4 linked regions of the Callithrix jacchus genome follow. The main gene of each other region encodes a partner of the protein of the gene in region 3 in a complex. Links are inferred from orthologs where the notes say so. Each region holds a gene or a part of one and is shown on either strand. Other genes may lie near its edges.

Region 1 (4,135 bases), on a different chromosome or scaffold from region 3:
ATGAAAATGAAATCCTACCCCCCAAAACACGTTAAAACACTCGAATTGTGCAGGTAAGGGCAATTTACGTATTTCAGATTTATCTTATTTAAAATAATTTTTTGATATAGCTTTAAAAACCTTGCCTACTTCTATCCTTCCGTGAATAGCGTTCCACTAAAAGAGAACACTATTACAATGATACTCCCAGGCAAGAAACCTGTCTTTATGAGGTAAACCAGGGCTACCAGATCCAGATAAGGTTTGCCACTAGGATGCTTCTAAGGTAATAACCTTTGAAAGAAAAAAAAAAAACTTGTTGAGGGTGGGATGGAGTCTAGCTCTGTCACCCAGGCTGCAGTGAAGTGGCACAATCTCAGCTCACGACAACCTCCGCCTCCCGGGTTCAAGAGGTATCTCCTGCCTCAGCCTCCTGAGTAGCTGGGATTACAGGCACACGCCATCATGCCTGGCTAAGTTTTGCATTTTCAGTAGAGACGGGGTTTCACCATGTTGGCCAGGCTGGTCTTGAACTCCTGACCTCAGATGATCCATCTGCCTTGACCTCCCAAAGTGCTGGGATTACAGGCGTGAACCACCGCACCCAGCCAGAAAACTTTTTTTTAAAGTAATGCCTGCATTAATAATTGCTAGTTAATTTAGTTTTTAGGCACACTGTATTTTTAAAACTTAAAATTCTAACTTAATTTCCAGAGACAAAATTGATCCTTTCACTCTGAATATCAACGTCAAGATGGCAGCTTCTTATTTGACAGTTACTCTTAGTATTTAACTATATTTTACATATACTGAGTGTTCATTACAGTTACTATATTATTATTATTTTTTGAGACAGAGTTTCACTCTTGTTGCCCAGGATAGAGCGCAATGGTGCAATCTCAGCTCACTGCAACCTCTGCCTTCCGAGTTCTAGTGATTCTCCTGCCTCAGCCTCCCAAGCAGCTAGGATTACAGGCATGCACCACCACGCCCGGCTAATTTTGTATTTTTAGTAGAGATGGGGTTTTTCCACGTTGGTCAGGCTGGTCTCGAACTCCCGACATCAGATGATCCCTCTGCCTTGGCCTCCCAAAGTGCTGGGATTACAGGCATGAGCCACACCCGGCCAGAGTTATTATATTATTAATTACAACATATGCACTGTAACATTCCCTTTTCAAAGAGGTGAAAATATAAGTTAAATAAGTTATCCAAGGTCACCCAACAAGTGACAATGTTGGGAGTAGGAGTAAAACTTCAGCTCGTAGACTGAAGGCAACTTCAAGCTTTTGCAATACCAAAAGAGAAAAAAAAAAAAAAAAAAGGTCAAGCGATTTACCTTCAATAACTTCCAACAGCATACCCTAAACACTTAAAAGATTCACCCTGAAAGAAACAACTTGCTACATTTAGATACCACTGTCATTTCCCCAGCTCTTTTAACAAGCAAAAATCCTGTACTGGATCTGGCTATATTAAATTCTAGGGAATGTTCACTCTTCGCTATGTACAATTTATTTTCATGCTAACATACATTTACGAATTAATCTTTTATCACCTTGTCCCATTTGGAGGTGGTGTGGGATGCATTAATTTCCTCACTCTTCCATGAAATCAAGTCAAAGACTACAATCTCAAAAATAGCAATTCTCAGTGAAAACATAGTTACATAGTCAACGAAAGAAAAGCTCTAATAAATTGCTGCTTTTAAAGAGATACTTTTAAAGGATGCTTACAGGCTTCACAGAATTACTGGTACCTCACCCGCCAAGAAGGATGGCCCCTTTAAAGTAGCTTTTAAGGCATATTCCTCCCTACTTGGGACACAGTCTGACTTGTTGGACAAGATTAATCTGGGCACTCACACACCACCCCTCTGAACCTGGACACATTATTGCAACAACTGTGGTACTCAGCCCTTCTCATACTACAGGGACAGACAAGATGACCCTTCTTAACAATCTTTGAGAAGGTCCCCTCGGAGGAGACAGTGACAGCCGTCCTCCCGCGGATGTTTTCGGAAATAGAAGTGTTAATACCAAAAGAAGCTCCTAGGAAGTGTCAGTGCGGCAGCAGGTGGAGTAGCCCTGCGTGCCGAGCAGGTTCTTTCTGACCTAGTCTCGGTCCTCCGCTCCCCGGCCCGGGTTCCGCCTTGCGGAGATCCTGCTAAGCCGTCTTGCGCCCCTGTTCTCTAACCCAGGGAAAGACTTCCAACCCTCCAGGGAGGCGAGACAATCGAAGCAGACAAGACGGCCACCCCACCTCTTCCGGGGACTCGCAGGCCCGCTCCCTGGCCATGTCAGAGCCTGACGGACCAGGCTGGAGGGGACGCAGCCGGCTCCTCCGGGAGACTCCCAGGCGGAACCCCGCGCCCCACGGTCCCTTTCCACAGCCCCCACTCCTTCGAAACGCCACCGCCACCACCCTCCTCACTCCTGAATCCCCTCTCCTCAGGAGCACCCCAGTGGAGTTACCGGCCCACTCAAAAGTAAGAGCGACGGCCACCCATCTCGGTCACCCTGGCCCCGCTGTCACCGCCCTGCTCCCGGCCTCTGCCCACGCCGCTGGCGGGCCCCGGTGACGCCCGGGTCGGTACCTTGCGGACCCCCTTGTAGATATAGAAGTAGAGCTCCCGGCCCACATTGAAGCAGAGGCGGTCGCCGTTGCCAGACTGGTCGTTGAGGTTTACGAAGGAGACGCGGACAGGGTTGGATCCCTGCGAGTTGAAGGGCACCCGGTTGGGCCGGCTGTACTCCGAGTGCGGCAGCAGCTTGTAGAGACCTTCCCGGGTAGTGAATTGGGTCTTAATCTCGTTCATCTCCTTCCCTCCTCCCTCCGTCGCCATCTTGGAAAGCAGCGTTCATCCTGCCCTAAGTGCCCGGATCACGCCCACCGCGCAGGCGCCGTTCCTGCTGCTCGCTCTTCCCCCACCCCGCCTCTTCCTTCTCGCCCCTCCCACCCGCGGGCCAGCCCCACGAAGGCGGGCCGAAGAGAAGGGGCGGGCTTGTTTACGGCCCGACTGCGCAGGCGTGCTCACCTGGCGCGCTCCACGCGGCGGGGCGTCCGCAAGCTCCTCCCTTGGGCGTGGCTTCCGGGCTGCTGGGCTGCTTCCCAGGTGAAGCCGGCTCCCGCTTGGGGGCTCAGGTTGCTCATTCCGCATCCGCCCGGGCAGACGGAAAGCCGGACCGGGGAAGCCGCGGCGGGCCTTGCGTCCGGAGCTTGAGGCGAACTTGAGGGCGCCTCCTCAGCTGTCTCCCGCCCTGCCCTGAGGGGTACCGGGACCCCGAAGAGAAGAGCGCCACCCCGACTGCCACTGCTTCGGGGCCAGCACGCGGGGTCCCCTGCCGGGAGCTGGGACGGCTCCAGCCCTCCTGCGCCCTCCCTTCGGGACGGGGACTGTCCCGCCTAGAGGGCTCGAGGACTCGCGCGACCGTCTGGATCCCCTGTCCGGAAGCCCCTGTGAAGCCTCCTCCCCGCCGTTTCTGAGAAGGTACCGAAGGACTCAAGATTTACGCTTCACTGTGTGTGTGTTTTTTAGGCGGGGTGGGGAGAGAGAAGAACGTGGCAGCGCACGGGTATTCTCAAGCCAGATGTCCTTTTCCTGCGTGGTGAGCACTGGCGGCCTCCGCTTCTTAGCGAAGGTTTGTCCTCACCGGCTGTTCCTAGACGGGGGGCGGGGCGGGAAGCGCTTTGGGAACTGCGGACTGCGTCTGTGCAGGATTCACGTCTGCTGCTCAGTGGTTTATGAACAGCTCTTAATAACATTTAAGGTAATTGATTCTTTTTCAGAAGCCTCAAGCGGAGTCTGTAAGACTGTTTACTAGGAGATCCGTAGGGATAGTGGTATGCATGTAATGCACGGGGTCTAGATTTGTAAGGACGGGCACGCGTGCCAACGCAAGATGAAACAGTCACTATTTTATACCTGGGTTTCTTGGCGTGTTGCACCAGAATAAGAAAGTTTCTAAAGTGACAAACATTCTGATAGGATTCCAGGGTGGGGGGGGGGGGGGAACCAACATTTGTAACACTGAAATTGAACTATTCCTGAAGGTTCAGATTAGATCTGGAGGGTCACAAAGGAAGCGAACGGGAGCAATTTCCAAAGTAGGAGAAGTCTAAATCATAAACATTTTCTGTACCACAAAGCAAGTAG
Region 2 (3,560 bases), on a different chromosome or scaffold from region 3:
ACTCCTTCTCCCTTTCCACAGAGCATGGGGATCAGCAGAATTTGGTTTTGAATAGAAATGTAAGTGGTCTTCAAGTTACATTATGAGGAAACAGGCCTACTTTAAAAAACGTCTATATATACACATTCCCCGAAATACTATTGATGCCCTGTGACTACTGGAGAATAATCTGCAAACCAACCTCTACAATGTCATCATCAAACAAAAGCCAGAAGCCGTGACTTTTCACAATAGTGATATAATGCCCACGATTAGGACCACTGGAAAAGAACAAATAAAAGAAGTTAGCATGTTAACATTGATCTCTTTATAAAACACTACTGAGCTCTTTACAAGCAGTGATTCTCTGGGGGGAAAACTAAGTTATCAGGACAAAGATCTTGGCATAGAGCCCATGTCTATGTCCACAACACCATGCTGGATGTAGGGGAATACAAAAGTGCGCAGGAGAGGTATCTTCTAAGGACTCATAATCCAGCAGGAAAAACAGACACTCAGATTCAGCAAATATTAACAAAACATTACTCTCTACCTACTCTGTGTTGGGCCCTATTCTAGCTGTCAGGAGAAGAAGCAGTGAACAAAACAAAGACCTCACTTATTTGGGACTTGGGATAGGAGCTAGATTGGCAATACACAAACTAAGCTTATAAATCTAGGTCAAGTGGTGAGAAGTGTCATGGAGAAGGATGAAGCAGAGTAATGGGATCTGAGCGATGGCAGGAGGTGTTATTTGATAGACGGTGAAGGGAGGCCACTTGGATAATGTGGGCACAAGAAAATTTCCCTGAAGGAAATGGCAGGGATAGGAGTAGGGGTAGGGGTAGGGGGTCAGGGGGTAGGGGGAAGCCATGCGGCTCTGGATGGAAGTTTCAGAAATAGGGAATAACAAGTGGAAAGGCCTGGGGCAGGCGAGTAACACTTGGTGTGTTCACAAACAGCAGAGAGGCCAAAGGAGGCCAGAGCAGCAGAGTGAGCGGGGAGAGGAAGACCAGAGCGGACTGAGGGGCAGGTGCAGGAGAAATCGCAGGTAAGATTTTAGGCTTTGCTTCGAGCAAGCCAGGAAGATAAGGGAATTTTAAGGAGTTGTATGATCTGTTTTAGAAAAATATCAACAAACCAAGATGCTTAGTAACAAGTATTAAAATAAAAAGCCATACAGTATGCTATATGGAAAAAAGCAGAAAGAACAACTAAGCAACAGTTACTATGTAGTTAGGTTAGATTTGCACGAGTAAGGGGATTTTAATCCTAAACCTAGAACTGTTTTTTAATGCACTGTTAAAGTTGAGAAAACCTCCCCTTTTGTTTACCCTCTTTCAGCACAAGATGATGCCAATGATCTGTTTCTGCTCTTTCTCCAGCCTCCTCCAGCTACGTCTCCCTTTCCTCTGAGCTCCAGCTCCTCAGGCTCCTCTCACACATGCCCCCTTCACATTGTGGGCCTTTGCATTGCTGTAAACTCTGCCAGAGATGATCCTTCCCCAACTGCATTCTTTTTATGCCTCAGCTCAGATGTTACCTCCCCAGATAAATCTCTGCTGACCACTTCACCTGAAGAGGTATCTCCCACCACTCACTCATCTCCCTGTTTATTCCTGATAGCACTGATCAAAATCATAAAGTATCTTGCAGTGGTTTATTTTTGGTGATAATAGAGTGGTGTGGTTTTTTTTGTTCATTATCAGTATTTCCAGATAGATTGTAAGCTTTGTGATGGCAGGGCCCCTGTGCTGTGTGTCTTTTCGTTACTCTACCTTCAGATCCTGGCATGGAACCCAGAAAACATGAGCTTAAAAAAAAACCTGCAGCAGAAATCAATGCACAAGGTTGTGCACTTGCTGCAACTATGGGCCAGGAGCATGGAAGGTAAGGCAGGCCCAGCTCCCTAACCTCAAAGCTTTCCAGTGCCACCTGGAAGCCACCCAATCTCCATGCACAGGCCAGCCCCACTCCACATAGGAGAACGGCCCTACTTCTGCTGGGAGGAGTTTGAAGAATCCTAGTTAGTAGCATGCCTGATTTGGCACCAACTGATCTTTGCTGCCAGGGCCTTTCTTACCTTGTGCTCACATTACGGAAACTGACCTTAGAGAACCCAACCTCCCACTGGTCATTCAGTTCCCTCACATGGGTCTCTGCCAGTCCTCCCAAGGATTCAAATCAGATACTCACAGAGCCCCCCGTGCAAGGGGCACCTGTGTTTCTCCTTCGCCTAGCTTTCCCAGCAGGCCCTCCCATCCACACCACCCCTGCCACCCACTTTAGCTGCAATGCCTACCAGGTCCCAGGCTCTGCCTGCCCTAAGACCTTCTCCAACCCTGCACCAATGTGAGGCCTCACCCAGCGCTCAAGGCTAGGTTCCAGTGATCTGGAAACCTGTGCTCTTCAAAAGAGTAACACCTGTTCTTCAGGGAAGAACACCACAACACAGGTATACAACTAGCCCATACATACAATTTTACTGAGAATACAAGAAAATATCCAGTGACTTAAAGTCAATACACACAGGACAAAATATGGGGTGCTTCAGATATGAAGTTACAGTTTCGGATACATCCACCCTAGCACACAATTAAAAAACAAATTAATCCATCCCTCCACGTGGCAATGGTAGTCTTCTGGTAATGTGTTCACTATAATCCATCTCAGCAGATGGAGAAAAAGACTCTTTCTCTGTGATAGGCCCCAATCTAAAACCTAGGAGGGCAGGAGGAAAGCTGTGCCTACCCGCAAGGTAGCACATAAAGCTGTCCCAGCTGAGCAAAGAATAACAAACAGGTGAATTTTCAGTATATTCTTCTGCATTTATACCAAATTACGGAATAAAAAAATCTTCTCAAATTTCGGCAAAATGCTTTGCCTCTCCGTATCTAGAGGCCTTCTCTCTCTTACTTTCTTTTTTCTGATTATATACTTATTTTAGAATTTGGGGAAAGACCAAAAATAACAAAGAATATTTTTTAAGAATATGTTCTTAATCACTCAAGTGCCAAAGATTATTAAATTTGATCCATTGCTTCTAGTCTTTATTTACACATCTTAAAATGCTTTTGAGATCATACTGTAAATCTAACTTGGCTTTTTAAAAATTAAAATCATAGCATAGACATTTGTTTCTCCATGTTATTTCAAATTCCTCAGAACCATTATTTCTATGCAATGAAGATTTATTATTTCTCTCATAACAGAACATTTAGATGATCACTGTTGGAATGCTATTTTTTAAATGTGTCTGTAGGCATGTTTATGTATTTATTGAGATGATTAGTAAGAGTTTGGAAGAGATCCCAAAAACGCTTAGTGCCATGGCACAGGAAAGGTGCAGCTGGATATATTTCAGCCAAGGGTAACCTTACGCTTACCCTGTGCACCTGCTTCCGGTCGTGCCCTTACCTGCCACAGTGAACAACCACAGCAACCAGGTCATACATGCGGTCCAGGTTCACTGCATCACTGGAGGTGTTGAAGAGCCGGAGCTCCAGAGGGAAGACCACACGGTAAGACAGCTTGGTGTATCTGTGCAACTGTTCCATGTACTTGAACCGCTTTAGATGTAG
Region 3 (4,060 bases):
AGTAAATAATGTGGTAAAAAGTTCAAAAATACCAAGGTCTGTGTATATTTCACACTAAAAGATATCCCATGTCCTGTCTTATCTATAATCATACAATCTATTCCCAAAGGGATAATCACTGCTATTACCCTTTCAGACGTTTAAAATGCATTTCCCTTTGTGGAAATGGGATCAGGCCATGCTGACTTGCTTTTTAGACTCACTCTCTCTGAGGCCTCCCTGGAAGATGAGCAGATCCAGCACCATACTTATTGTAAAGCCTGCAGAACTGTGAGCCAATTGTGCCTCTTTTCTTTATAAATTACCCAGTCTGAGGTATTTCTTTATAGCAATTCAATAATGGCTTCACACAACACCCTTGCATAAGCAGGGATAGATATATGCATATGCAATTTTGTAGAATATATTTTTAGATAAGGAATTCTGGGCCAAAGGGGATGTTTATTTATAAATTTGACAAAGGAAGACACAAAACAGTGAATACTATGGCTCCATTTATAGCAAAAAAAAAAAAAAAAAAAAAAAAAAAATCCCATTAAGTCAGGTACACAAACAGGAAGAGGTACAGAACAGTGGTTCTCAACCAGATGCAGTTTTGCCCTTGAGGGAACATTTGTCTGGAGACATTTTTAGTTGTCACAACTGGGGAGATGCTACTACATCTAGTTGGTAGAACCAAGGGATGATCCTAAACAATGTGAGTTGCAGGACAGCTCCCTCCCTCAGACACAACGAAGAACTATCCAGACGAAAATGTCAAGAATGCTCAGGCTGTTTAACTCTGGTCTAAGATTCAAACACGACATTGCCCACAGTAGCCTTCTTGGAAGCATGGAGGGCAACTCCAAGTATAAAAGTAATTTATACTTTTGTTTGTTGGCTGTTTACAATGAACACGCACTGGTTTAAAAAACACTCACAGACAATGATGTTTCCAATGAAATCAATCCCTGTGGCTTCTCAGGCTGCTTCTATACCTTGGGGACAAATTCCAAACGCTCCTGCTGAATCTTCTCTTCAGCAGGTTAATCTTAGACAGCCCTTTCAAAAATTCTTCATAGGAAATAATTTCAAGTCAGTTCACCAATCTGATTGCTACCTATGAAGAGCAAGGTTCTAAGTGCAGAACACCAAACTCTAATTTTGTACTCTGACCACTGAAAGGCAGACTTATCTATCACCTGCCTCATTCTGTGTGCACTGGCTCACATTCGGCCTATTGAAACACGGTTTTTCCAAACCTGCTGCAGTTAATTTACATTCACCCCAGTCCATACTAGTACAATTGCCTTGTAAGTCTTTTTAAAATATATATACTTTATTGCACATATTTTGGGAGTGGGCAGGCCTGGGAGAGAGGAAGCAGGGAGAACACTGCAGTCATAGGACTTTTAAGTCTTAAAGCAATAAACTGACAGGCCTGATTAACTACCCTTACTCCCCTAAGGAGTATATCACCACAGAGTCTATCATACAATCAGATCACAATTTTGAGTTATATTTCAGTCCCTAGGAGACATTCTCACTACCTGCCCTGGATGCTGGTGATACTTAAATTCCATCACTAATGCACTGAAAACCTCACCTAACAGGGGTGAGTTTAGACTCTTATTAATTTCACTCAATTCAACAAACATCTAGTGAGTGCTTAAGAGACTGCACTGATCAGTGCGATGAATAAAACCCAAGATGTGAACTACTCAGAAGACTTTATGGCCTCCCACTTTCTGCTGGGATTATCTTACTGAAGGACCCCTTTATCTGACTACCTTCAACTGACACTTGATTTCAATCTGCAGAACTCCAAATAATGCTGTTTTATTAAAAAAAAAAAAAAAAAAGCCTAGGTGTTACTTATTCCTACACGGGGGAGGAGGGGGCAATCTAAGTGCCAAACTGCCACTACTACGTACAATACACCTGCAGGAAAACACCTGTAATAGGGCTTCTATTCCCTGCATCACTGAAAACACTAAGTGGCAATAACTCTTCAGCGTACCACCAAACAAAAGTGAATTCACAAAGGCATAAGGCACAAGGCACACACGGTAGGATTAGACAACTCTTTACCACATGTACAATAAATTATACAAACAATAAAGATTCAGCGATGCACACTGAAGATGAAGAAATGAAGCCGAACTTAAATTCCAAATTCCAAAACAATTAAAATTATAATTTCCCCATGCACATTCTGTCATTCCCACCTACCCAGGGGACAAGCCCAACATAAGCGAGGGCTGGGGGCTCCCAGGTGCGGAATCCACTGCAGAAACCCCGCAGGGCCGTTGGCGCTCCGCCACCTCGCCACGCCCCCGCACAGGCCACTCACTCCTCCAACGCCCACCCCCCGGGAAACCCCTGGAGGCCTCCGGTAGGACGCAGCGCGGGCAGAGCGCTTCGGAGAAACGCAGGGGAAGGGGGAGGCAGGTGGGCGGGGAACGAGCCTATCCCGACTCCGCAAGTCTATTCCCACAGAAGAGCGGCGACCAGCAATATAGGGCTCAGATTGCCACCCGCGAGGGTCCCGGGCCTGGGCCCCCAGGCCAAGTAGGCCGACCCCCGCCCCTTCCTCGAGCCGTTAGCGCCGCGGCCCCACCCCTCGCGGCCGGCCGCGCCCCGCCCCGTTCGCCCCATGCCGCTACCCCAGCCAGCCGCGGCCCCGGGCACCTGCTAGGTCGAGTGGGCCCGGAGCTGCCTGCCTCGTCCGGAAGGCCGAGGAACCAGGCTTCCATACCTGCACTTTCCTCCGCCCTGCCGTGTTCTGCCGGTGATGGGCCGCCATCTTGCATGTTGACACTCAGACGTCACTTCCGGAGGTGGCTGAGACCGGGCGGATGTCCTGCCCCCTTCCCTTTGGCCAAGGGTTCGTGGCGGGGCTGAAGGAGTAGAAGGTGCGAGTGTTCCCTAGGTGCTTGCTGTTTGTTGCTCTATGGCCGGCGTGCGGTGAGGTAGATGCACCCAAAAACAAAACCGTTGTGCAAATAATGCTGATGGGGAGAGAGCCACTTTTCAGGGCTGAGGGAGCAAATCCGAATCCGGTTCTGTGTGGTCCCAGACCCTGGCGTGTGCTGTTTTCCGAGTGCTCCCCCAGAGGCCCAAGCTAAGCGAAAGCGCTGAAAGAATTAACAGTGCTGGACGTGGCGCTACACAAGCCCCCTGACCTTTCCTCGGCAGGCAGGGGAACCAACTGATTTACTATGAAGTACCTAAAAATGCGGAAATTGTATCTTGGTATCAAAGAGGGAGAAATAGAAGCCCTTGCAAAGGAGATGGCCTCCATCTTCAGGAGGAGCAAAGAATCCATTTAAATTAAAAGATTAAAAGCTGCAGCCATAAAAAAGAACATGATCATGTCCTTTGCAAGGACATGATGGAGTTGGAGGCTATTATCCTTAAGCAAACTAACAAAGGAACAGAAAACCGAATACCACACGTTCTCACTTATAAGTGGGAACTAAATGATGAGAACACATGGACGCAAAGAGGGGAACAACACTCACGGGCCTTTCGGAGGGTGGAGGGTGGGATCTGGAATAATAGCTATTGGGTACTAGGCTTAATACCTGGGTGACGAAATAGTCTGCACAACAAACCCCCATGACACAAGTTTACCTACATAATAAACCTGCACTTGTACCCCTGAACTTAAAATTTCCAAAAAAAAAAAAAAAATGTTACAGGAAGGTGAAAAGGGTAACACCAGCTAAAATCGTTCCCAGAGACAACTCAGTTCCAAATCCTGAACTGAAAACCCGGGTCTGGTGTAAATCATCTCTTGTACTGGAATAGTTAGGCCCGTCTGGGTGAAAGTTTGACTTCAGGTGGTTTTCCTGACAATAATTATAGGAGCTGAGGGTGATGAGATCCTCTCTACTGAAAGTGAATCCTGTAGAACTACACTGTGGGATATAGCATATGATGTGGTATCCGCTAGTCATCTGTGGCTCTTGAGCACTTGAAATATAGCTAGTTCCAGTTAAGATAAGTAATTGTAAACTACCCCCGAATTTCAAAGACAAGTTTGAAGAAAATAAACTATCTCATTAACAATGTTTGT
Region 4 (4,173 bases), on a different chromosome or scaffold from region 3:
ATTCCACACACACACCCAGTATCATCCCTGCTTCACCCGGCATTCCAGGAGATAGGAAGGACTTTTAACACTTTTATACTGAATGCAGAACTTAGTACTCCAGATCAAACTGTAGAAGTAAATGTAAATGATAGTCTGATAGTTCTTCCCCTTCAAGGCCCTCACAACTGAGTAAGAGTTCAAAGAAAAATATACTACACAGTTTAAATATGATAGGTGCTACTGACATTTCAAAAATGGCATGAAGTTGTATGAGGGGGATGGAGGGTTGGGTTGGAGAGGGGTAGGATTATTCAAGTAAAGCTCCCTGCTTAAGAGGTACACATCCTCGCAATACAAGGATGGGGGGTAGGGCAGAGGAAGCATTCCAAGCCTAGCAAAACGGCACCTACAAAGCTAAAGAGGTATCTTTGTTTTTCAATTTTGTGATTCTCAAGAGGACAGATAGCATTTTCTTTAAAGAATAAGACTGCAAACTACTTTGAGATATTTAGCACTATTTGAGGGTACATTAGAATGTATTCAAATACGAATAAAGACACACCCAATTTTAATAGTACCTTTTGAACAATCTCGTTCGGCCAGGCACTTTCAGTATTTGCCAACAATACACACACCCCACCTGTAATTAATGCATCTGGGTGGAAGCCCTAGAAAGAGCTCCCGATTCTGATCTTGGAGATCAGAATCCCACTTACTAAGTGTGCGACGCTGGCAAATCCCTGTGTCTCACTGTCCTAATGTGATTACAGCACATATTTATTAATATATTAATTTAAATACAGTTTGTGTCCATGAAGAACGTAAACACCATGAAAGCCGGGGCTATCCTGACCACTACAGCATCCCCAGCACTCAGCCCCACCTCTAGCACCTAGTAGCTGCTAAACGTAGATGTACAGTACCTGAGTGAATGAATAAGAGTATCACACCACTCCTGAAATCCCATTCTTTGACAGTGAACTATGATCATTACAATGTGTGTAGATCAGCAATCTGGTATCACTGTAAAAGACCTAATTATCGCATTCTTTTGAAACTGAGTAAGATAATAATTGGCGTATCTGAAAATAATTAGCCCAAACAATTCTTGAAAATCACTTTAAAATAGTCCATTTAATACCAATGCCTTCCTAAAACGTAAACTTTGAGAAAGAACCACCATCCAGTTGGGAAATGGAGTCTTCAATATGATTTCTTAAATATTGTCGATTTTATGTCCAGCTGATTTCAGCCATTTTTTGTACTGTTCCTCAGCATGCAGTAGAGAATCTGCTTTTAAAGCATCTTTCCGATCAGATTCACCACTCCTCAAAGAAAAATATACACAATGGACCATCCTTAGATGGAAAATTGCTTGAGGCTCTCCTATATGAAATCGGTTGCATAAATAGGGCCAGTGAGGCATCAAACACAAGCTTTCAGAAGTCTTTAATAACAACCAATAGGTCCACGTTGCAAAGAACAACTTTTTTCGGTGATGACTCATAAATTATGATCCCTACATATAAGCTCATGAGGCGCTAATGAAACGAATTTGTCTCATCATGTGGAAAACTGTGGTCCTTCTGGCCAAGCACAAAACACCAAGTTTTAAACGCGCCCACGTTTTGCTTAATTCGGGACTTCCAGCGAGGATTAGCGCTTTTCCTTTATAGTCTATTTAAGCGCCCTAAGAAAACAAATATCATCGCATTGGCAGGCGGTCCCCGCACACAGACAGACGTAGCTTCACCACATACAGATGTGTCTGGTGGGCCGAAGTAAACAAATGACAGGAAAGCTAATGCTTTTAAAGATTAACGTGCATTCCCACAGACAAGACTGCCACCTGGACACACGGCTGGAAACGAGAGCTCGTGCCTCTCCGAAGAGAAAAATGGAGAGAATTTCAACAACACTTATTTAAAGTTTCCATCTTTACATACGCCCCTTTCCGCCAGCGCGGGGTCGGGGACTCGGCCCGGCCAGCGGCGCGAGGAAATCTGCACTTGACTTCCGTCCTCTCCCTGGCGGGAAAGAGCGCAGCCCGCCCCGGCAGAGACCCTTCCTTCCTGCCCGCCGACCCCCACCCCGCCCGGGGACACCTCCCTCTCGGCGCGCGGCCAGGAGGAAATGGAGCCCTCGCGGCTCCGCAGCTCCTCGCCCCCTCCTCGGCGACCCTGGCCCAGGGCCGCGCTCGGGCTCCTGCGCGCCCACCCGCTGCCCCGCCACAGGCCAGGCGCGCTTCGGCCCTTGGCCCGGCGCGGACACCAGCAGTTCGGTCGGGGACTCCCGGAGGCCAGTGCCCACCCCTCGCCGCGTCCCGCACCGTGGGCCCCTCACCGCCACCCTCGCGCAGCCCCGGCCCGCCAGGCGGCGCCCCCTCCCCGGACGCCTGGGCCGCTCACCCCCGCGCTCCCCGCCCGAGCGCCGTCCGACCGCCCCCACCCGGGCCGCCCGCACGCCCGCCCCCGCGCTAGGCCCCGCGAGCGGCCACAGGGAGAAACGGGTCCAGCGCCGTCCGCCCGCCCGAGAGGTCCCGGCTGCCCCTGCCGCCCGCCCGCTGCACCTACCATGGTACAGATGGAGGCGAATTTGGAGACTGTCATTAGGATTTCCATCCGCCCAGCGCCATCTTCCACCCAATCACAGCGGCGGCGGCGGGCGGGGGATGAGGGGAGCCGGGCCGCCCGCTCGCACTGCAGCCCGCGGGCGGACCCCGAGCCGCAGCGGACCCACGCACCGAGCCCGCTGGGCCGCCGCTGCCGTCGTCGCCGCCGGCGCTCAGGCACTCCCGGCCTCGGGCCCCAGCCCCCCGCCTGCCGGCCGCCGGCCCGCCCCCGGCTCCGCCCCGGCGCAGGGCGCAGCCGCTGCCTCCGGGCCCGCGCCTGCCCGCGAAGCCGCCCGCCGCCCACCCCGCCCAGCGCGCAGGGGAGCGGACTCCGCTGAGGCCCTAATGCCCGGCCTGCCAGGCAGCAGCGCGGCCCGGCGGCGCAGCCCCGCCCACCCCTCGGCGCCCCCCTCGGCGGCCCGGGAGCGCGAGCCAAGGAACTCCTGCCCGGCCCCACCCCGCGCGAGGCCGAGGGCGGGACCGAGGGCGGGCACTGTCTTTTGCCTGCGTCCCTGCGGTCCTAGTGCCGGGCGCCCGAGCCCCCTCGTAGGAAGAGGGGCGGCGAGGAGTCGCGGGGGCGGCTGCGGCGACCTGGGAGAACCCGGGAGGGGCCAGACTGCGACACCCACCGCGGGCGAGGCTATAGTGATCTCCCGCTGCCTAAACAGAAAACGGAGGCGATGATCTGGGTAACTTCGTGCGGAGTGGGAGGAAACATGCTCTGCACAGTTAAGATAACCCAGGTATGCGTCCCAAGAACTTGGTTTCTTTTTCCGTGTATTGGATGAATTCCTGGAGTCAAACACAACTTAGAAAAAGACAAAATAATCAAATAAAAATGAAGCGGCAAAGAACAAATTACACGTTTAACTCTTTGAATTAAGAAGAAAGATAAGTAATGGGGGAAGTGGGGAGAGCAACGAATCCTGTCGGCCTGTTGCCCATAAATTTAGAATAGGTTTCTAAATATCTGCACATTGTGCTACAGAATAGAGAAGATCTCAAGCCAGCAGTGATGATGATATTACCAGAAACAAGAAGCCCGCAAGCAAGAAAAATGCCCTGTGAGAAATCCTCAGGCAGTGCTGGCTACTGGCATGGGTAGTTCCTCTTTTCTCCTCTTATAAAATTCATCATTGCACCCAGTTCATCGTGTCTGGCAGCTCAGCTTTATTTTTTCCTATTTGAGAAAGTAGTTCAAGTGAGTGGAATAGCTTCATAAATTATGATGTTAAAAAGCTCTTTTTTTTTGAGACACAGTCTCTGTCGCCCAGGCTGGAGTGCAATGGCGTGTTCCTGGCTCACCGCAACCCCTGCCTCCCAGGTTCAAGCGTTTCTCCTGCCTTACCCTCCCCAGTAGCTGGGGTTACAGGCGTGTGGCACCACGTCGGGCTAATTTTTGTATTTTTTTAGTAGAGACGGGGTTTCACCATGTTGGTCAGGCTGGTCATGAACTCCTGACCTCGTGATCCGCCCGCTTCGGCCTCCCAAAGTGCTGGGATTACAGGCTTGAGCCACCGCGCCCGACCCGTGATATTTTCTAATTGCTGAAGTGATGGGGTACTTTTCTGGGTTCCCCT

Evidence for each region.
Region 1: the proteins of WDR48 (region 3) and WDR20 are in contact, whole or in part, in a crystal structure (PDB 5K1C), measured with the Homo sapiens proteins. The link is inferred for Callithrix jacchus from reciprocal best matches to the Homo sapiens genes WDR48 and WDR20. Residues at the interface, in NP_065890.1 of Homo sapiens: Val191, Lys207, Gly208, Gly240, Gln241, Gln242, Arg243, Cys244, Ile245; in NP_653175.2 of Homo sapiens: Arg20, Ser364, Thr384, Glu385, Asp386, Glu524, Pro525, Leu526.
Region 2: the proteins of WDR48 (region 3) and USP46 are in contact, whole or in part, in a crystal structure (PDB 6JLQ), measured with the Homo sapiens proteins. The link is inferred for Callithrix jacchus from reciprocal best matches to the Homo sapiens genes WDR48 and USP46. Residues at the interface, in NP_065890.1 of Homo sapiens: Arg50, Trp77, Asp118, Tyr119, Lys121, Leu137, Arg139, Ser170, Tyr172, Thr188, Asp211, Asn212, Lys214, Ser230, Gly254, Trp256, Arg272, Ile364, Leu424, Lys425, Gly521; in NP_073743.2 of Homo sapiens: Arg181, Leu183, Asn184, Cys185, Glu186, Thr187, Cys222, Ser223, Glu224, Lys226, Cys232, Cys233, Ser234, Lys235, Gln236, Glu237, Gln239.
Region 4: the proteins of WDR48 (region 3) and USP12 are in contact, whole or in part, in a crystal structure (PDB 5K1C), measured with the Homo sapiens proteins. The link is inferred for Callithrix jacchus from reciprocal best matches to the Homo sapiens genes WDR48 and USP12. Residues at the interface, in NP_065890.1 of Homo sapiens: Arg50, Trp77, Asp118, Tyr119, Lys121, Leu137, Ser170, Tyr172, Thr188, Asp211, Asn212, Lys214, Ser230, Gly254, Trp256, Arg272, Ile363, Ile364, Leu424, Lys425; in NP_872294.2 of Homo sapiens: Arg185, Leu187, Thr188, Cys189, Glu190, Thr191, Ser227, Lys230, Cys236, Arg237, Ser238, Lys239, Gln240, Glu241, His243.

The regions. Positions count from the first base shown.
Region 1 is NC_133509.1:137,066,374-137,070,508, reverse strand, and holds the start of WDR20 (WD repeat-containing protein 20), read right to left. Parts: upstream 2,852-4,135; 5' UTR 2,825-2,851; coding exon 2,576-2,824; intron 1-2,575. UniProt on the Homo sapiens protein: Regulator of deubiquitinating complexes. Activates deubiquitinating activity of complexes containing USP12. Anchors at the base of the ubiquitin-contacting loop of USP12 and remotely modulates the catalytic center of the enzyme.
Region 2 is NC_133504.1:144,023,721-144,027,280, reverse strand, and holds part of USP46 (ubiquitin carboxyl-terminal hydrolase 46), read right to left. Parts: coding exon 3,397-3,560; intron 261-3,396; coding exon 182-260; intron 1-181. UniProt on the Homo sapiens protein: Deubiquitinating enzyme that plays a role in behavior, possibly by regulating GABA action. May act by mediating the deubiquitination of GAD1/GAD67.
Region 3 is NC_133518.1:76,908,781-76,912,840, reverse strand, and holds the start of WDR48 (WD repeat-containing protein 48), read right to left. Parts: upstream 2,803-4,060; 5' UTR 2,786-2,802; coding exon 2,738-2,785; intron 1-2,737. UniProt on the Homo sapiens protein: Regulator of deubiquitinating complexes, which acts as a strong activator of USP1, USP12 and USP46. Enhances the USP1-mediated deubiquitination of FANCD2; USP1 being almost inactive by itself.
Region 4 is NC_133506.1:146,334,767-146,338,939, forward strand, and holds the start of USP12 (ubiquitin carboxyl-terminal hydrolase 12), read right to left. Parts: upstream 2,831-4,173; 5' UTR 2,604-2,830; coding exon 2,556-2,603; intron 1-2,555. UniProt on the Homo sapiens protein: Deubiquitinating enzyme that plays various roles in the regulation of the immune response and inflammation.